Linked DNA regions of Arabidopsis thaliana. The protein of the gene in region 1 interacts with the protein of each later gene in a pairwise test. Each region holds a gene or a part of one and is shown on either strand. Other genes may lie near its edges.

Region 1 (6,281 bases):
AAGTCTAAAACATGAATGCAATTGGCATAATTATAAAGCATATCCACAGTTATAATGCAATTATATGTTTTTTTTTCAGACTAAACCGAATTTCTGAAAAATAATAAGTTAGATTTTGTTTGAAAAATTATGTTATTATTATGGAAAGTAATCAACTAATACTATATATCAATGTAACAGGAACATTTTACGTATTTGGAGCAGTCGGAGGACTAGCATTGCTTTTTATTTGGTTGCTCGTTCCGGAAACGAAAGGATTATCACTTGAAGAAATACAAGCTTCGCTTATTCGTGAGCCCGATAGAATAAATCAAAGTTAGATTGAAACGTTTAAGTTTTATTTTAATAGATAAATAATTAAAATCAATTTATGATACTGTGCTAAGAAAGTAATTTTTTTTTTCATTATGTAATCACTATTTAATTTTTCTAATACTTAGAATTTTTTATGTATATTTCCGCGATGTAAAACAAGGCCTATGTTCATTTGTATTTTATCCCTATGATTGCAAATGTAAAATGTTTTTGTCCTCATCGTTCACTAATAAAAAGGTTAAGAAGTTTAATATCTAGTGTTGTATAAACAAGGGCCAACCGTTAATTTTTTTAAATAGCAACTATTCTGTTATAATTATTAATTTTTATTTTTATTTTTATTGTTTTCTATAGTTTAAAAAATCTACCTTTTTAAGAAAATAGTTTTAACAATTTTTGATTAGAATTTAGAACTAATGTTTTTTCTATTCATCGCGTGTCATCATACCAAATATGTAAATGTTTTTATTTAATTGATTTTTTCTACTATTTTTCAGCTTCTTATCTCATTTTTTGACAACTACTAAAATAGGTCATACTGTTTTTTGTTAAACGATATTATCAATCAATTCCACTTTTTTTTGGTCCACTCTTTTGATAATGGAATAAACACAAATAGTGAATAGTGAGTGAATAATGAGTTGGTCACTTTCAAAACCTAACTAATGGAACTGATTCAACCTTATCTTTATATCATCCCGAGTCTTCTTTTTTTTTTTTGTTGTAAAGAAAGTTTTTAAATGCAGCTTACTGGCTTGACAAAAAAAAATGTAGTTTACCAAAATCAATTATTTTTTTCTTTCAACATCATGAAGATCATCTATCATATGACTTTCCCAACACTAAATGACATATAGTTAAAATCTATACACAATATTCTGTATATTATTATCACAAAAAAAAAAAAAAATGAATACCCCACTTTCCATATTGGCGTGAGGACAAAAATAAACAAATTGCTGTGAATCATGAGAAGTACATCTACAATTAAGATGGCATGGAAGGGACTACATGTTTGTTCATTGTCAATAAAAAAAAAAAACAAAGGACCACGTTTGTTAAATATACATAATTTTTCATAATCAAAGTTTTACTGTACTATTTTTTCTTTGTACACTAGGGAAATAAAATAAACTATAACTACGTATTTTTATGGCCAAGATATAAAAATCTCCTCTTCAAACAGCTCAGGCAATAGACAAATTAATCTCCAACCACATCATCTCCTGCACATTGGCTCGAACAGACGGTGATTCCACACTCCTTTAGTCGTTGGAGTCTACTTATGCAAGTCCCAAAGCGTCGATGACAATATCTTCTGTTCTCTAGTGTAAAATAAGTGCCATGTTTGTTTTAACGTTTTAAACATGTCTCTCTTTTTCCTTTTGTAAATTACCTTTTTGTTGATAAAATTAAAATAACATTTCAACAAAAATAAATAAAAAAAATCATTTCCAACCAAAAATAGACTTCACCATTTTATTTTAGACTGACTTCTTACCACTATCCCAACACTAAATGGATCAGATTCTGAATATTATAACTAAGTGAAATTACAATATTTTTTTACGAAAAGTATTATAAACATATTGTCCATAGTCTTTTTGTGTCCGAAACCATAATTAGTTGTTTGTTTGTTTTTCGGACGGAAAGAAAAATTAGTTTTTAGAGATATTGTTAGGATTCAAACCCATGACTTGGTCATCTTTAAACTTAAAAGATCTCAAACTTAATAGATATTTGGGGATTTGAACAAACAAAAAAAGAAGATATTTGGGGATGTATCCATATCATCACCAAAATAAAGGATTATTAAGAGGAAGTATACTCTTCGATAAACCTAATCTCAAATGAAACTGAACTGAACCTAACAAGAGATTACTAAATCGAAATCTAAGACTGAGTTTGATCATAGAAATGAGATATTTACTCTAAAGATGTTGAGTTTGGTATTATATCTCATAATCATTGGAATTGTTTCTTGGCTAATAGAGTTTGAGAAACAATTCCGATGATTAACAAATATGATGGCATAATTAAGTGTTACATATATCATATATGATATAGTGAGGCTTGTTAATTCTCGGTAATCATCAAGAAGGATTGTAGATAATAAATTATTATTATTAATGAAACGTTACTTTGCTCCCGTTTCTCAAAGAAAATGACCACTGTTCGCTGTTTCTTTTAATGTTTACGAGATCCTTACCCGCACATACGTGCGGAATTTCATATTTTTGGAATTTTATATTTTTAGTTCAATGTAGATTTTTTTGTTATTTTATGATATATATTATAGTATAATGTATTAGATATCAGAACTCGCATATACGTGCAAAATATGAAAAAAAGTAATAGATTTTTAAAATATATATAATATTTTGTTATAAGTAAACTTTGTAATAGTATAGATATTATAAAGGTAAGAATAACAACCAAAATTCAATTGTGTTCGTGTATAATTATATTTTAAAATCTGGACTCACACGGGGAAATAACCCAAACTAAAACCAAATTTATATCCTATTTTACACCAGTAATCAAACTGTTATAATGTTTTGATTAGTTTAGAAAATTAAAACGTATATTTGACGTATATTTCTTGGAACGGAAAACCCATAATGTGATGTATCTATCATAAATTCTTCGTTCCATAACCCGTCTGTATATGTGAAATAAAAATACTACCAACGCCCATCACAAATAGAATTTGTGTCACAAAATACGTACATGCAGGGTTAATTTATTTTATATAGTGCTCATAACCCAAACTCATACCAGTTGGATATTTAATTTGATGTCCAGTTTGGTTTCAAATTTCTTTATATAGTGCTTCCGTTTCTTTTCATGTCGTTTGTGTCTCATAATTCCTATTTTCATTTCATTCCATTGAAAATACGTTCCAAAATTCTTATTTGCTTACCTTTAAATATCATGTTATATATGACTGAGTTTTGCGGATTAACATATAGGATGTTAAAGTTTACAAATATATCATAAATTAAAACACAAAAATACTCTTTCTTGATTTTTTTTCAAATTCAAAAATATGAATAGCATTATAACAAATAATTTTGTAAAAATTTATATTTTAACAAATGTAATAATGTTTATTTCCTTACCTACATGTTTAATATTCTTCTTTCCCTTGTTTAATCATAATTAATTGGATTTTTGGAATATAATTAAAATTTTGAAATACCCCTACAAAAGCAATTTATTTTGCTGGATAATTTGTTCTGAATGAAAAATGTATAATTAGTTTATATTATTTCAAAAGTTTGTGCACTAATATATTATAGATTTATTTGAAAAAAGATCCGGTTGAAAAATAGAAAAAAGAAAATCCAAAATATTTCAAAATTAGTATGTAAAATTTATTGTTTAGATATTTCTAAATGTAAGGCATAATGATAATTATTTTAAATTAATTATTTTAGTTTAATTCATAGTAAATATTAATATTTGTAACATCTTATCTCGTTTTTAAAAATTTTAAAATAAATTTTCGTTTTATATTTCAAAATACTTAACCCAAAATTCTAAATTGAATTTATTTATCTATCACAAATTATGATTTTTTTATTCATGATATCAAGCAAGTCTTATGATTTTTTAAAATTTTAAAATAAAACTTAACTTCCAAAATGTTAGTTTAATAATATTGTATAATTTGATATCAAATCTAAGTTTTTCAATTTTTATTGGTTAACAAATTTTAAGAAATATATTTTATTTTTTCGTCTATAATTAATAGGAAAGAGAAAGTGAGTTTAATTTTGGGAAACTAATAATTACTTAAAAGAATATTACCAATTTTTATATTTAAATATATTAATTTTGTGATTACTATTGTATTCTTAATAAATTTATTTAAAAACACTAACAATCAATGGCATTCTATGTAATATTTTACCCTTCATAAGGTTGTTTATTTTCAATGATTTCCAATTAATAGTATAGATGCATCTCGCAACTGGATTTTTTTTTTTTTTTTTTTGTAAAGGATCTTCATGAAATTTCATCAGATGAAAATTTTACGGTTCGCTTAATGAGAAACGGTTCGATCTTTATGTGTGCAAGGTTAGTAACATCTTACATTTTCATACATATTTTCATTTCGTCATATTATTTATATAAAACAAGAATACAAGATATATATTTTAAATGAAAGACCATTAGACGTTACATGTATTTTGTGTTATAAAAATTGACGTATTTTTGTAAGACCGAGTCACCAAAATGAGTTAGGTACAACCGTGCAAGATATCGCTTAATGGACTCAATTTCATAGAACATGCACATCTCCAATTATTTACGTTTTAGCTCAAATATTATGTTTTTTTTTTCCTAAGATTTGTTTTTTCTTTCCCTGGCAGATTTGATTAATCAAATAATGCATGTGTGTGTGAACACGTAAAAAAATCGTGTCCCAACTTGTTTATGGCCATGCAAAAATAACGAATCGAATTTTGTAAAAAATAGCACTTTCATAAAAGTATTTTGACACTTTAAGATCTAAACACGAAATAAGAGCGTACCTCCACTTAATATCTTGATGCACCATAATTTCATTAACGACTAGCCAAAGTTATAAACCACAAACTAAGTTCCAATATATAAACTAACTTCTAACAAAAAAGGGTTATCCAAATGTGTATATCTATAGTTCTTTATTTTCTTTTGACAAAATGTGGAAATATATAGTAACAAAACTAAATATATATTACATATTCGGACACCAAATAAAACTCGACATCTTTAAGAAATGTATATAAAGACGCATCAAACATATCCTCACGCATGCATGCATTACGTATAGAAGAACATACAAAACACTCTTTCTCCACATAACATACAAACTTTCCTCACTTCCGATCAAATTACGAAATGGAGGCGTCGTTCATTAGATCGCTACCGTCTGCCGGAAACTTCGCCAACCTATTGCCGACCGGGACCGCCCTCATATTCGAAACCCTACTACCGTCTTTCTCCAATGGCGGCGAGTGCAACAACAAACCCGTCAATAAACTCCTCACCATTACTCTCATCTCCTTTTGCGCCGCGGCTTGCTTCTTCTCCTCCTTCACCGACTCATATGTAGGCCAAGATGGCCGCATTTACTACGGAATTGCCACCTCTAACGGTCTCCACATCCTCAACGACTATCCAGACGAAGGTTATGATCCAGAGTCCGGCTTAACGGCTGATAAGAGAGAGAGATATAAGCTCAGTTTTGTAGATTTCGTGCATGCTTTCGTGTCGGTTATCGTGTTCTTAGCGTTAGCCGTAGAGAGCTCGGATTTTCGGAGGTGTTTGCTCCCGGAGGACGATGAAAACAGTTGGGGTGGTCATTTTGTACTTATGATCAAGTACTTTGCTGTTATGGTGTTGACAATGGCAAGCTTCTTCTTTGCTATCTTTCCCTCAAAACGGAGAGGCATCGGAATTTCAGACATTCGTTGATTCATAACATTTATTTGTGTATGTACATATATGTGCCTATGGTCTAAATATGTTGCTATGGTAATAATCTTTATACCCCAAATTCCATGATTGATCTTATCTTATTCAATTCATGATCTTTATAAACGAGTAATCATCTCACACGGTCTAAAAATAACAATAAGCAATGTAGGCTTTGCGGTCCTGTGGAAAGAATTGTAAAGAGCTTTGCCTAGTCTTATTGATCTTCATGATTAATACACAAATCTTTAACAAGCAAGAAGAGAAGAAGAAGGAATAAACCAGAAGAAAAACTGATCAAGATGGTTGTGAATGTTATCCATCTCAAATCAGATATATGCTGTCCAAGACTCCAAAACCAGCTGCAACGCCGCCTTCATCTGATGATGCGATCTTCGTGCGCATTAGATAACCACTCTGCTCGTTTACTATAACTTCGTCTTTGCTCCTACATATTTCATTTAATCAAAGATTATGGCACAAAATTAAGTTGAGAATTA
Region 2 (7,704 bases), on another chromosome or scaffold:
CATGCTAAATTTATACTATATTTCGTTTCTTAAGTTTTATAGTGACCATAATAATTCGTCTTTTGATGCATTTGTTGGCAAATGAGGTAATATAGAAAGAAATTACATGGATAAAGATAATATAGAACCTACGAGATTTGATGAATGATGAAACTATACAAAATATATAATCTTCATTGATATCATTGGTGGGAAATTCTGTTAATTTAAATTATTTTGTATGTTGTTACTTGTTACATTGTACTTTAAATTTTAAATTTATTTAGTTTTCAACCGAATTATGGTATATTTTCTTCAATATTTGATTATGTGCATCGAAATAACTTTAAACTTCTTTATTAAAAATCATGTGTATATAGTAAATCATTAGTAAATAAATTCAATACTTTCTTACCATATTGTTCAAAGATGGAAGAAATAGTAAATAATTTGAATATTAATTGTATAAAGTATTTAGAGTTCTTTTGATATCAATTAGTATTAATATATCAATATTCATATATGTTAATCTTACTCATTAATCAAGACTTTATCAATCTCACAACTTCAAATCTATTAACTACTTTACAATTTACACACATACTATAATCAATATGATATATACAATTATGAAATCTTTTACTCAGAGAAATATTGCATATCATTTTCATATATTTAAATAAAACACAAGGCTTATCTTGTATATCAATATTATAATTTTTCTTTTTTGATCAATTCGATAATTTTTAATTTATAAATACCCAAAATAATTTTAGATTATAATTCATAAACTAAATATTTAGTTTAAAACTAAAATATCATAATCACAATATTTATGATATTTTTTATTGAATGTATTATAAAATAATTTAATATTATATCAATATATATTAATTATAGACATATATTTCACTACATTCATTTCACCCACGCATCGCGTGGGACATTTTCTAGTACTAAATAAAGTTGTGATGCTTTTTCCTCTAAACACCGTGTTATATTTTGTATTTTTCTTATTTTGTTAACACCATGTTAATTGTTCACTATCAAATTACTAACATAAGTAATTTTCAATGTAATGACTCACGATATATTATAAATGTTGAAATATTTCATAAGAAAAATACGTGGAAAACCTAACTAAAACCAATGTAAATTGACAATTCGAATTTGTTGGGAATTAGGTGTCGGGAAGTATTGAATCTTTACATCATTCGAATATTCCTTTTTAAAGGTTTTAGATTTTTTTCTTTTCCAAAGTAAAAACGGTATACACAAATTGGGTAAGAAAGAGTTAGATGTTTTTTGTTTTGTTTTTGGTGTGCAAAAAGATGGAGATATTTATGAATCAGACAAAACAAAGACTCCAAATTTTAGAAGGTGACATGTACATCTCCCGAATCGAGTAAAAGGACTACGTGGTAAACTACATCAACTTGTTCCCCAACACGCTAGCGAGATCGAGAGTGCAAAAGGACTAACCAGGTTTTAATTCTGTTTAAAATAAATATGAAATATCATAACTATATAGTTTGAATCGTTTTAGCATTAAGCTAATCTCCGAGGTAAATAATGTTGTTGGCTTAAAGTTTTAGGGAAACTTCGGACGCATAAAAGAGTCCAAGCCGAAGAAACTCATAACACCAAATCACCCACTTACATAACAACTTTCTTTATAGACTGAAATCATCTAATCCAATTAGCCAAAATTTGTACGGATATTGGCGTCTTGCCTCAAATCTTTCTACCACAACTCAATCTTTACAAAAAAAAAAAAAAAATGGTGTAATGTTTACGAATTTCTAATAATAATATTGTTCTTGCACATATTGATGTGTGGAATTTTGATTGTCAAAGATGTTATCTACAAAAATATACTTAAAGTTCTTCAGTCACCTTTATCTCATCATAAAATATAATGAAAATGTATATGTTATTTTGATATTACTTCTTGTTCTATCTGTACTTTAAAGGGACATTAACACATTATACCACTATAATAATTGTTTCGAAATTTTTAATATGCATTATAAAGCTTTTCTACAAAAGAAAAGACATCCTCATATGGGCTTTAATGGGGGCATGTGCATGTGGGTTGTGCTGGTAAATTGGGTCACCAGACTCTCACCACTTGCAATTGCATTTTATTTTTTGGTTTAACAAAACAGCCATTATTTCCTTGAGCTAAAAAGACAAGGAAAAGTTAATATATTAGCTTTAAATTCAGAGACAGTTTTCTGTTCCTTATTTCCCCCAACAAGTTACATTTGATATTTTCCTTTTGCCCAAAAAAAAAACAGCAATAAAAGAAAGGGGGAAAAAAGAAAAAAGACAGAGATGATCATTAAGCACATTCAAACAAAATCTCCAAAAAAAAGTTACGAGTCAGTTACATCATCAATGCATCATCATTCATCACCAACATATATATGCTTTACACTCACATGTAAATCGAGCAAAGCTTGGCCATATCAAGAAACAACAGCTTTTGTATCCGTGATTGTCAAATCTTACAAATATAATAATTTCCCATAAAAAGACAAATATTTTGCTATCAATTCAAAACCAACTTGCATACACACAAAGACAAACACTTCACATGGTTCTTGTCAATTTCTTTACCCACAAATAGATAACATTCACCATCAGAATTTTCCGCTATTAAAATGTTCAAGAATCAACAAAACAAGAACATTCTTCTCTTCTTATTCTTACCCATTTTAGCAAATTAAAAAACAAACCAAAAACAGAAATATAACCAATTATCAGAGATAACAAAAAGTGGATTTTCAAGAAGAAGAAAGGAACTTTCTTTTATTTATTTCATTGTTTTTATACATATCAAAGATCTGATTATGCGAAACTGTTTACAATTCTCCCATTACAAAAAAAAACTGCTAAAAGGTTAGTAAAAAACATAACTCAATTTCTCTAACGATCCTCTCCAACAGAAACATAAGTATTACATATAATTCGATTCTAAATTTCACCAACCGTAAGCAGCTTTTTTTCTTTCCCAATCCAGATTACAAAACCCAAAACATACAGTGTACATACATACCCCTCATGATCTCTGGCTTTGTGGTCTTCCATCAAGTCCTTCTATTCAGTGTCAGACGGCAAGAAAGAAATGGTTGGAGAATTCGGGATAGCGGTTTCATCAACCGCTGAAACCGCGACAGGCTCAGCTACTACATCATCAGCTGTCAAGTTTTGCAACTTGGGTTTCAATTCATTGTTACAGAAATCTTCATACTCTGTTTTATCTCCTCCTTTCTTCTTGACTTCCACAACAACCAACGATGGTGTCAATTCGAATATCTCTGCTGCAATCGTCAATGGACCTTTCACTCCTTGTCTTGAACCTTCAAGACTTACCCTACAATCCTTCTTCCTCACAGTAAAGCTCACAACTTTAGCAATCTCTTCCAACTTCGATATAATCTTCGAAACCGGAGCTCCCGAAACAAACCTAGAACCCTCCCCATCGTCATCAAACAAACCCGATAAATCAAAACCTTGCGAAAACGATATAATATCGAAAGCATTCAAACTCGCAGGTCTAGGCAACCCTCCAACTCTCCTCCTAGGCTCCAAATACTCAATCTCCGACTCAGAAGCCGCGGAATCTCTATCCGACTCCACCGAGTCAGACTCCAGTTCATCATCATCAACAACATTACACAACTTATCATCCTCCACATAAAACTTAATATGCTTAAACCCTTTCTTAAACCAAGAATTCTCCATAATCTCAGGGAAAGTGAACCGTTTCTCCGGATTCGTCTCCAAAAGCTTCGACAACAACCTGGTAAGCTCAGTAGAAAACCACCTAGGACACCTAAACTCCCCTCTGTAAATCTTCTTATACATAGCCATAACATTCCGATCATGAAACGGCAAATAACCAGCCATCAACACAAACAAGATAACACCACAAGACCAAATATCAACTTTAGCAGCATCATAACCTTTCCTAGCTAAAACCTCAGGAGCAACATAAGCAGGAGTACCACAAAACGTATGAAAAAGCCCATCTTGACGAATCTGATCAGAGACAGCACTAAGTCCAAAGTCAGAGACTTTAAGATTACCATTCTCATCTAACAAAAGATTCTCAGGTTTCAGATCTCTATGATAAACACCTCTCGCGTGACAGAAAGTAACAGCAGAGATCAATTGCTGGAAATATTTGCGAGCTACTTCTTCTTTAAGACGACCTTTAGCTACTTTATTGAATAACTCACCTCCACGAACATACTCCATCACGAAATAGATCTTAGCTTTCGTCGCCATGACTTCGAATAGCTGAACGATGTTTGGGTGACGAACACGTCGAAGAATCGAGATCTCGCGTTTGATGTGTGCGATTAAACCTCCTTTGAGAACTTTCTCCTTGTCGATTACTTTGATTGCTACGCTTTCGTTTGTTTTCACGTTACGTGCGAGGTAAACTTTAGCGAAGGTACCATGGCCGAGAAGCTTACCCATTTCGTATCGTCCCAGGATTAGAGCTTGTGGGCTGCTTCTCTCTTTAGGTAACGACGTCTCTCTCGTGATTTTCTCCGCCATTGATGAAGAAAGTTTGAGTCTTTTTTGGACCAAAATTAAAAAGTTTGAGTCTTTTTTTTAGGGATTTGGAAGATGAATTGAAGAGGAAAGGTGGAGAAATCGAGATTCTGGGCGAGACGAGCTCGCAAAGATTTCGAATTTCTCACCTGTTGATTCGTTTGTTTGAATCTCTCCTCTCTCTCGTTTTGTGAAATTTTGTAGAAGAAGAAGAAAGAAGAAGAAGGTTTCTCTCTCTACTGTTTTTAGAGATTCATCACTAAAAATAGCATTTGGCCTCTGTTTATAATAATCGTCGCCGTATATATTTGGGAATATGCTTTTATGAATTTTGTGTGTTTATAGAAAATAACTTTTTTTTTTGTTAATGGTTATAGAAAATAGTAACTTTATAAATTTAATGCAGGATTTTGTGTTTAATGATATTCTTAAGTACTGTATTGACTAACAAAATGGGTTGCAATGATTACTTATCATTTCTCCCGACGATATATATAATTTGTTTCAAAAATTTAAATAAGTTGAAACAATTACAACTTGCTATTATAAATTTTTTATTTGGACTTACATATTCAAGTAAGATCATCATTCACGTGAAGATAATACAAGTTTAATCATCTCTCAATGTTAATTATTTCAACTTGTATTTAAATTCCTTGTTATTTGCTGCGTGTATTTTGGGTTTTTTCGAACCAACCGTATGTCAGTATTTGTCATGCCTCTTATGCACCAATTATATACCACTTGTTTGTTACAAATACTCAAAAACAAAAACATAATATAAGTCACTATCGTAACTTTGTTTTGCTATAATTCATTTTAGAACCGCTAATGTCAAACAATAACGCAATAAAACGATCAAATAAATGAATTGATGTTGAATCATTTCAAATAATTGTAGTGGACCATACGATCGACATTGTTTCAAATACAATGTTTCTAAAATATCTTTCGAATTGTACCTTGCATTATAAACGCTTTTCAATGATGAATTCTAAACTTTCATTAATCTAATAGGGAAAGACAATTAGCACCAATAGCTAAGTGAGTGGGTCAAGTTGTTGGTCTCGAGACGAATCTAGATCGTAGATTTACGTATGAATTTCAAAATAAAATACTTCCATAGAACATAAACCACGTGGCGTGAAGATGACATCATAGTTTCTGTGGCTGTATTATTCAAAACGATAGTTTATTAGATTTTGTTTTACACGTGGCAGTTACTCAGCGATCGCTTTAGGTTCAGTGGTCTGGATTCTCGAGTTTTCTATCTGGTAAGTGTTAGGCTCCACGTCATCTGAACAAAAAAAAACAGCTGTGAGTTTAATCACAGCCGTTGGATTGCCATATGAAAATGTTTTTGTCTTTATGTAGAGACTCACGGAAATTACGGAATCCAGCTATATATAGTGTTCACAGGAAATTATAAGCGTAAAATTAACAAAGGTTTTATACGCCAAAATTCGGTCGAGAATTCTAAATTAATTCAATTGAACTATGTTAATGGTTTAATTATGAAATCTAAATTAATTCATTTTTATAATTATGAAAGTCAAATCTATTGCAACGGTTGGTGAAGGACGGTGGGGTCGTAAGTCAACATACGTAATGGTGGTCGGTCAAGAGATTATAAATATAAGCAAGAGAAGTTATCATATGAAGCAAGTTCTATTGTCAATTTAGAACGATAATGATGTAAATAATATTTTAGATAGATTTGTTTAATTATATCTAAAATGAAACTTACTAATTAAAATGAAACAGAAGGATTTTTTCTTTCCGGCAGTATTACTAAATTACAAATTGGTAAAAATGTTCCACACTATACCTATTGAATAACAAATTTTTCTATAGTGGAATTGCGATTGACAGTTTGGCACTTGCATTAAGTTAATAATTTCACATATATTTTAAGTTCAAATGATAATTATAAGCTAATAAATTCACGTAGATCGTACGCACACATTTTGTTTACATGCTTTAACGTGTTGCATGTTATATATCTAGTTTGGTATGCAAGATTCGTGCCTACCTTGGAACAAAAGAGGCAAATGCTAAGACAAAAGAGGCAAATGCCTAATCATGGCCCAAATTATATACTTTAGAGGATCCCAATTCAAATAGTACTCGGTAGTATTTTGCCGCCAGCTTTTGTCGCTACTTTGAAACAATCTTTCGTATTTAAAGACTAGTTTTGTCTTCCTGGTTATTTTAGTTTAATATGTGAACTTAGCAGTCCTGTAAATAAACTGAGAAGTTGCCGACGTTTGTTCGATCGTTTCTGTTTTCCTCCGCCACGAATCCGGATTTCTCATGTTAGAAACCTATGCACGTCCGATATGTTGCGTTTGAACATTTTTCAAAAGAGATATATATATGGGCCTATATGTTTCTTTTGCAACTATAAATGGGCCTTTGAATAAGAACACAAAATATTGATATTATTTCATGTCCAAAGTTTTATTAAACTCTAGTTGTCAGCTGAAGTGAATTAACTAACAAAAAAAGAAACCGAGGAAAACGAACTAAAGAATCATTTATCTTAGATTTTGTCAAAAAGAGGGATATTTCACCACTTTAGATAGAATTAAATATAGCCGTATAGGGTTTTAAAAACATTTATATGGTTAAACAAAGTGCCAGAATCTAACTAACAAACTCGCCTAAGTCCTAACTCCTCTTTGTAGACTTGTAACGTACAGAGAAGATTGTATAAATCTATGAGCCTTATACTATAAAAGCCCATTCTCTCCACTAGTTTATAAGCTTTGGTTATGGTGGGCTAAAAGTTCCAATCGAAGCCTGAAAAGTGTGAACATCATAACGGTGAAGTGCACTCTAAGGACTGTACGTTCCAAAACAGCATGAACCATCCACAAAAATATTAACAAAATATAGAAAAATAATAAAGACAGAGAGGCTAAAAGAGATGATGAGTTATATAAGAAGTTTGACTAAATAAGTTTGCAGCTTTGACTAGCCCACCTTCTCCCACCGACTGCCAACCCATCCGTCAATATTTCTATCTTCATTTCCTCACAAATATTTATTCAATCTCTTCATTTTCAAATATATAGTTTTCTAGTACTCGTAGTATGGTCTAAAGACTTTAAAACTAAATAAAATGGTAGGAAGTAAATGCAAATTACTTGAATT
Region 3 (7,978 bases), on another chromosome or scaffold:
ACACCAACCGTGGGACAAATTCCGGCGGGATAAGCTAGGGTTTTGCTCTTCTCCCATATATAGTAATAAACTTCTCCGAGTATGGCACCGGTTTGGACCCACGCGGTCTTACTTGCCACGTCGACATCCACCGAACGGAGGTTAAACATGTCGAGGACGAAGAACGGTTTGCCAGAGTATGTAACGTATGACAAGCCATCGTAGTCGTGGCCTCCACTTCTGATTTTCATCTGAAGGTTGTGGCGTTTCCCGCAAGTAATCGCGGCTTGCACATGGGATTCATGTGTTGCGGCGATTATGAGGAAGGGTTTCGGAGTTGAGGTGGTGTTGAAGCGGAGGTTACGGATGTTGGCTTGTAATACGGAGGAGTAGGAGCCATTTCCGGAGAAGAAGATAGCGGGGGAGATGGGATGTTTGGGGTCGGAGTTTGAGGTTAGGCATTGTGTGAAAGTCTCCGAGTTTGCTGATGATGAGCTTGATTGCCATATGAAGACAACAAAAAAGAGAACAAGAATCAATGCATATTTCATTTTCAGAGATTGAACGTTGAAATACAACAAAAATAAATATAATGACTGAGTTTATGAATGTCGTTGAGGCCTTTTGGTTTTTATAGAGAAGATCATGCATGATGCCAAAATATTTGACCAAGAAAAGTCAAATGTGGGTTCAAGTTGTCCCAAAGATTTTGATTAGTGTGGTGATCGCAATATATTCTAGAATTTACATTTAAAATTCAAGAATATTGTATATACAATTGCGTGTGTCAACGTATTATAAAAGTTATCATTAATGGATTTAAAGATTTTGAATATACTTTTCAAATTAGACTGGATTCAAAAATCAAAATGAGAATTATGTCACGGAAGTAGTTAACCGATTTTGTTTTTTTTTGTCTTTTGAAACTATTATAGCTAGGCACTAGTTGACTATGTAGTAAGTGAACTCTATCGTTCAATTTATTAATATTTTTTTCTGAAATTTTCGTTCAATTTCTTTTACCAATACAAATTCAAAATCTTAGGCTCATAATCTCTTTTGGTTTGGACTAAAATCTCGATAATTCTTTAATAAACGGTAAATGATTTATCTTCATCGGATAGCTAAATTTGGGAGTAAATTTTCAGCCTTGTTCCAAAGAATTTTTTACGAAGTGTTCTTTCGATGTTGGGTCAACACCTATACTGCCTCTATGAATATAGAAATATAAATTCTATAGGTGAGACTCATAAAATCAGCATTGAATCTGCAGTTGTTATAAACACAATTTTTTTTTGTGAAAAACTGAAAATATATTAATTCCATTAAAATCATTTCTGTGTCTCTCAAATGCGACCTGAGAGCATCCCTACTTTTATAGTATCACTCCAGATGCATTAAATTCGAGTTTGTAATGTAGAAGTTTCATTTTTTTTTACAACACTCGAAGTAGTAATTTACGATCCCATGAATCGATTAAGGATGGCTATATTTGAACAGAACTATATCAACTATGAAAAACCCTTGGACAATTAACGACCTAATTAGTTAAAATAAATTCTTTATAAATATTTTGTGACAATGTTTTGGAACTCTACAAGGTAGAGATGTTGAATATTACGTAATTTTTTTTTTTGGGCAAAAAAATATTACGTAATTATAATAAGTGTTTAAATATGAAAAGTATTGACTGAAATATAACATGAACTCATGAAGGATACATTTGAGCGGCTGGTTTGACTTTCATATTGTTGACCAAAAGTAGTATTATTGGGGCCGCAAATAAAGAAGAAAATATAAACTAGACGTGGATTCTAAATTAATTATAACACTGATATGCTGAAAAGAATATTGATATTTTTTGTTAAGAATATATTTATATAAGCCATTTATATGTTACCCGCATGTTAGTCTATAGATTAGAGAGAAGCATGACTAAGCTGTCCATTAAAAAAAATGCAACAAAAATCTTAAAAAAACTTTCCATACAGACAATTCTTATAGAAATTAAAATAAAAGACGTAAGGTATTAGAAAATTTAAAATGATCAAACACATTTTGTTTCAACGAGAGATGTTGTTTTACCGTACGAAAGCAAAGATGTTGACGAACGCATTTATAGGAGGAGAAGTGCAAATCTATTACAAGTTACAAATTGTTTATATTAAAATCATTCAATTTAAAGAAAAAAAGGTAGAAGGATCAGTGCGTCTAGTCATCTATAATCTTTTTCTCTGATGATGCCATGCATGCGTGTGGTGTCGTAATCACTACATAGAATTCTGCAAAAATTGATCCCAAAAAACAAAATTGATTTTACTTTAGAAAAAAATGTAGTAGCTAATCTTATATTTTTCTGGCCAATGAAGCGGTTCGAGCCACTATTCTTCATCCATTGATGTGTACCAATAACAACACAAAGAGTAGATTTTGTGGCAGTCTTTGTTTTCGCCGCGTATATCCATTAAGGTAAGTTCACACACATGCATCATCGATCGTAACATGAGTAGTCTAAGGACATTTACTCATAAGTAAGAACTAAGATTTAACTATGGATAGAGATGACAAACAAAAAAAAGATTTAACTATGGATAGAGTTGTTATGTTTTTTTCCATCCGAATTTCAATTTTTTCCCGGTTTTGGGGTTTATAATATAATGAATGTTAGATCAAAAGAAAAATTATTAATCATCAAACCATTCCTCTTTTGGTTGTTCAACTGTTTTTCTCACTGTAAAACCTTTCAGAACAACCATACAAAACATATCACATATTTCTTCTTTGGTGTTACTCTGAAAGGCCATTGGGCCAATACTCAGCCCATGTAAAACTCTGAATATTCGAACATATTTATTTATCCATACAGTTTTAATCAAATAAATCAAATAGGGAAGAGAGGAAAAATCTCATACCAAAGAAGCAAAAGATTGACCTTACCAAAAAAAGAAAGAAGCAAAAGATTGAATATCAATGAAATAATGGGAGTATCTCTTTCTCTTACATATCACTCAAAAATAAATAATAACACCAAACGTTTAAATTTAGAAAAGAATATTATATATCCAGAGACTACATGAAATCCTCCACTTCAGGAAGAGGATTCAGTCTTGGTTCTGTACCTGTACAGAACTTTCTTCTTCTTGCCAGAGACATTGTCAACGGTAAGAACAATCTTACCAGCCTGACTGTTCTTGAAACTGTTCCTGATTGGTCCTTCATTTGCTCCCATCTTCTTCACCTTTTGGACTATTACCGTGTAAGCTCCTTCTTCTGTTGGCACAAACTCTTCCTTGTAATTCACTTCCCATCCCAAAACCGCTATGTCCCATACCAATGTACCTTCAGTCTATGAAAACAACCACAAAACAAAAAACCATAATTAGAAAGATAGGGTTTAACAACTTCAGGAATAAGGTAGGGTTTGGTTTTCTAATTATACCTCAGGAGCTGGGATTTCGATGGTTTCAGATGATCCAGGCTTAACAACAACTTCAGAGACAGTTTCGTTGGAGAATTCGGTATCGTCTACTGTTTTGAACCCACCGTACTGAACTGGGAGCTCATCAGCTGGAATGTACTTGAGAAGAGTCTCTCTGACCTTAGCGGGACGAGCCACAACAAACTTGCTCTTGGTTCGTTGAGTTAAGAATGGCGAGAGGACAGCTCTCATGGCGTAGAACCAGAATGGAACGTTGATGAATATCTGCAGAACAAAAACAAACAATGATTAGAAAGTCAGTAGACCAAATCAACGAGTCCCAAAACGAATGATGATAATAATCAACTCACGTTTCTGGACACGAATTCCGGATAGTTGTCCTGCAAAGTCTCGATTACTTTCTTGATTCCGACCCAAATCTCTGTTCTTGACACTCCAGGAGCGTTTTTGAGATCGTGGATCTGGAGAAGAGAAGTAACACCTCCTGGTTTAAGATTAAGCTTCTGGATTCCCTTCTCCATCAGCTGAAACCTCCATCTCAAGAACTTCTCTCTGTTCTTCTCCGACCCAATCGTCTGGTAAAGCTCCTCGCTGTGGACATTGTAACAAACTGGGTGGGACTCGCGGTCCACACCGTTCATGTAAGCTGCAGTGGCAAGATCCTCCCCAAACTCCTCTCCAAGGATCGAATCAATCTTGTTTTGCTTTCTCCATTTGAGGGTTTTCTTCAGCATCTCAAAGGCTTCGTTGACTTTAAAGTCTCTTGCTCTCAAGAACTTCAAGAGGATAACATCCGTGCTTTCAGCTCCTTTGCTTGGAAGCAATGGCACTCCCCAAAGCTCGATATCCTTATCCACCGACTCATCTTCATCCTCCACCTCAATAGTCTCAGCTTTCACTTCTTCAGTAACAACATCCTCGGTTTTCTTCTCTTCTTCCTTGGTTTCTTCTTCTACCTTCTCAACAACAGTAGTCACTTCTTCCTTGGGGATTATCTCCTCTGTAACAACAGCCTCAACAGTCTCAGCTTTCGGTGCTTCTTCGGTAACAACAGCCTCAGATTTCTTCTCTTCTTCAACCTTCTCCTCTGCTGCTTCTTCCTTCTTCTTCTCAACCTCAGCTTCAGGTTTCACAACCTCTTCCTTCTTCTCCTTCATAGGAGAGCTCTCCTTCTTCTTCGTCTTTAAGAGAGTGTTGTCAACAATAGCTTCCTCAAGCTTAGACTTGAGATCACTCAGTGCCTTTTTCTCAGATTCTTTCAAATCAGCAAAGAAATCACTCTCTTCTTTGAAGGAAGCACTCTTCTCCACACCCTCAGGCTTGCTCTCATCTTCTTCAACCTTAGTCTCTTCCACAACAGCCTTAACAGTAGTCTCCTCAGGAACAACAGCAGGAGCAATAACAACCTCTGACTCCACCTGTTTCTCCTCAACCTTAACTTCAGCAGTCATCTTAAAGCCTGTCATTCAGAATCGATTCAAACAATATTTAGTCACCAATTATACAATTCACCAAAGTAGTAACCCTAGAACTAATTAACCTTGTTGAATTAGTTGAGATCTAAAAGAAACAAGCTTAATTCTTCTTCCTGATTAGTAGAGATCTAAAATCAAAAACGTAATTCTTGTATAAACCCTAACGATTAAACGAACTCAAACAACATAACACAGAATCCAATTTCAACTCTGCAGAACTAAATCTCAGGAGGAAAAGATTGAAACTTTCTTTTTTTTTTTCCTGAAGGCGAGAGAAACCTAGCTCAAATTCGAAGCTTTCTAAGTTTATCTATATAAAAATCGAGAAATCAAGAGAGACAATAGAACTAAAACCCAAAAAGGATTCGAATTTAACAGCTTCTAAAGAGAGAAAAAGAGAGAAACCAACCTAAAGAAGAAGATAAGACTTACACTGTTTCTGGAAAAGATTCTTCTTCGGAATCTCTTTATAGAACCTGAAGAAGTTGTTCTTGTAGTGTTTTTTAAAGTTTAAGCTGCAGCAGAGAAAGAGATTAATGGGGGGTTGTGAATAAATAAGAGAAGAGAGAGGAGGAGGAACAAAGAAGGGAGCTTTATGCAGAGAAGGAAAAAACCCTAGGACTAGAGGTGGTCCACACCGCCCTTAGCAACGGTCACATGATGGACCCTACCAGTAAACATGAAGAACCAACCACAGCCGTTGGATGATCCAACCTGGCCCCAATTTGCCAGCCTGGCAAATTCTCAAAATCGCAGAACAAATATTTTACGTAGCACCAAGAAATATAAATTAATAAACAAAGATATTGGTGAGGTCCCACGTTTCGCTTCTCATGTTCTCTCAACGGTCGTCGATGCTGATCTGTTTACACGACACGTGGTGCTATTCGACAGAGTATGTTCGGCGCAACGGACGGATATATTCACTACCAAAGTCACTTTTTGTGTGAAATTCATTTTAATATGGTTTTATTTTGTTTTGTTTCCTTTCTAATTTTACAGAGTTATCACTTAATTCTAAATTACGTCCCATTTTAATATAATTAGAAAGTACCATGTATAATGTGATAGTGGAGAAGAATCTCTTCGTTGTAACGGTTCTCAATCAAATATTTGTTCCTTAATATATCATGATTTTCATTAAACAGTCGGAATTGGATATACGGTCTCCTTTATTGGTAAGTAAATGTCTCTTTTAGCTGTTGACACCAAAATATGCCAACAAAGACACTAATCATTATATTTTTATATTAATGAGTTGCTGTTTCATATGAATGGTTTCATATCATCAAATGTTTGCATGTAAATCAGATGATTAAGTGATTTGAATATTGGTCGAAAAATTCTAAACTTAGTTATTTCCTAATGTAAATATGTGATTAACATACACAAAAAATGATTATTTATATAAGTTCTCAATAAAAGTTTTGTCTATGATGTTTATGTCTTTATGATGTATAATTAAAAACAATACTAAATATATCAGAATAAGCAAATGTGTGAAAAAAAAACAATGGATTGATAAATTAGATAATACCAATAATTTTGGTCTTGGTCATATCCTTTGACGAGAATAAACTATTTCCACAACTTTCACCTATATTCCCTATATTAATTACGTTCGCAATGATTATATATGATCGACATTTATAGTGCACCGCCGCAACTGATTCTATTATAAAATATTTGCGTGACAATTAGATTAATACTCAAAGAAATCAACTAGATAGACGTAACACAAAGCAGTATAACATTGGAAATAATTGAATCAATTTGCAAAGAGTTTGCATAATTATAACAGAGAGGTAGTTGAAGTCAACAGTTATACAGCTAATTCACAACACCAAATCAGCCGCAACAAAAGGAGGAGACAGAGACAGAGAGAAACAGAACAAACTACAGAAACAGACAGAGCACAAAAAGATCACAGAGCTGTACAAAAATCGAATTCAGTCACATTTTGGATCAGACCTACCAGACACAATAGAGAAACACCATGATTCATAATTCCACATTACATAGTAGAGACATAATCTTGTTCTTGAATCTTGACAGTCTGTTAAAACACAAAGGTAAGAATCTCACAAGATCATCTTTTTCCTCACCAATGGTAACCCAAAAGGGATAAAATTTAGTTGACAAATGTTATCGATACGCTATGTCCACCGTGTTTGACGGCCTTTAAATTCACCAAACTGATCAGTACCGCTTGGGTGATCTCCTCTCTGGCATTCCAGGCGTCACTGGAGAATCCGAGTAGGAACCAGTTGTCCTGTCGAATAAAGATTTCATTACTGAACCAACATAGTAGAATTATCGATTGTAACTTTGAACAGAGTTTTGATAAAGGTTTGGTGTTCTAGGCAAAGGTCTCTACGCTTTGGGTACTTCGGAATAACTTCAGCTAGTTTTCGATGCCAAAGTAACAAAATACTATCATAAGTTCTTGTGAAAACTTGTTTAGTCCGTTAAGTTAGATTAGTAGAAATAAGAAGGTAGTTGAAAAGTTTATGTACCTGTCATAACACAAGTATGCATCACCAATTTGTCCTGCCACCTTGTTTCGTACTTTCCTCACACCAATCTAAAACATACAAAAAGGTTAGTAACTTTACACAATAAGAAGGCCATTTTTAAAATAATACATTACAGATGAAGATGAAGGGATTGGTACCCACTTGAACTAGATCAAGAGGTCCAGCATTTTCGTCGCGGTTTCTGTGAACTATAATACCATTGTCACATTTGTTTATAAAATGTGCGCTGCCACTAATATCGTAAAGGTTTGGTGCACCGCCATCCCAATGTTGCAACTGTTTTGGATGAGCGACAAACCAGACATGGCAGGAGTGGTGTTGGGAAAAGCGTTTGATTTTTGTAAGCATCTGGCTGACATACTCTGTCTCCGTCCTATCAAAACGAATATTAATCTTTCATGTTTCAGAAAGGAAAGAGGGTATTCAGTGAAAATATTTTCTTCACTCACTGGCGTGGAGTACGTTGATGATCGAGCTCATTGTAAGGATCTATAACAAGTCCTCGAATCCCATACCGAAGAACAGCTGCTTTTGCACGTTCCAGAACC

Evidence for each region. Proteins that work in one complex are often made in the same cells at the same time.
Region 2: the proteins of AT5G27370 (region 1) and CIPK12 interact in a protein complementation assay, tested with the Arabidopsis thaliana proteins (one large-scale study listed by BioGRID).
Region 3: the proteins of AT5G27370 (region 1) and AT1G30690 interact in a protein complementation assay, tested with the Arabidopsis thaliana proteins (one large-scale study listed by BioGRID).

The regions. Positions count from the first base shown.
Region 1 is NC_003076.8:9,662,106-9,668,386, forward strand, and holds AT5G27370 (inactive Serine/Threonine-kinase, putative (DUF679)), read left to right. Parts: upstream 1-5,205; coding exon 5,206-5,781; downstream 5,782-6,281. Other genes in the region: SFP2 (Major facilitator superfamily protein), read left to right, coding at 181-320; GSH2 (glutathione synthetase 2), read right to left, coding at 6,106-6,229. UniProt on the Arabidopsis thaliana protein: Involved in membrane remodeling.
Region 2 is NC_003075.7:10,286,029-10,293,732, forward strand, and holds CIPK12 (CBL-interacting protein kinase 12), read right to left. Parts: upstream 5,031-7,704; 5' UTR 4,552-5,030; coding exon 3,082-4,551; 3' UTR 2,770-3,081; downstream 1-2,769. UniProt on the Arabidopsis thaliana protein: CIPK serine-threonine protein kinases interact with CBL proteins. Binding of a CBL protein to the regulatory NAF domain of CIPK protein lead to the activation of the kinase in a calcium-dependent manner.
Region 3 is NC_003070.9:10,885,175-10,893,152, reverse strand, and holds AT1G30690 (Sec14p-like phosphatidylinositol transfer family protein), read right to left. Parts: upstream 5,547-7,978; 5' UTR 5,303-5,546; intron 4,878-5,302; 5' UTR 4,870-4,877; coding exon 3,769-4,869; intron 3,683-3,768; coding exon 3,419-3,682; intron 3,326-3,418; coding exon 3,068-3,325; 3' UTR 2,770-3,067; downstream 1-2,769. Other genes in the region: AT1G30700 (FAD-binding Berberine family protein), read right to left, coding at 1-530; AT1G30680 (toprim domain-containing protein), read right to left, coding at 7,093-7,165, 7,410-7,477, 7,572-7,803, 7,880-7,978. UniProt on the Arabidopsis thaliana protein: Carrier protein that may be involved in membrane-trafficking events associated with cell plate formation during cytokinesis. Binds to some hydrophobic molecules such as phosphoinositides and promotes their transfer between the different cellular sites.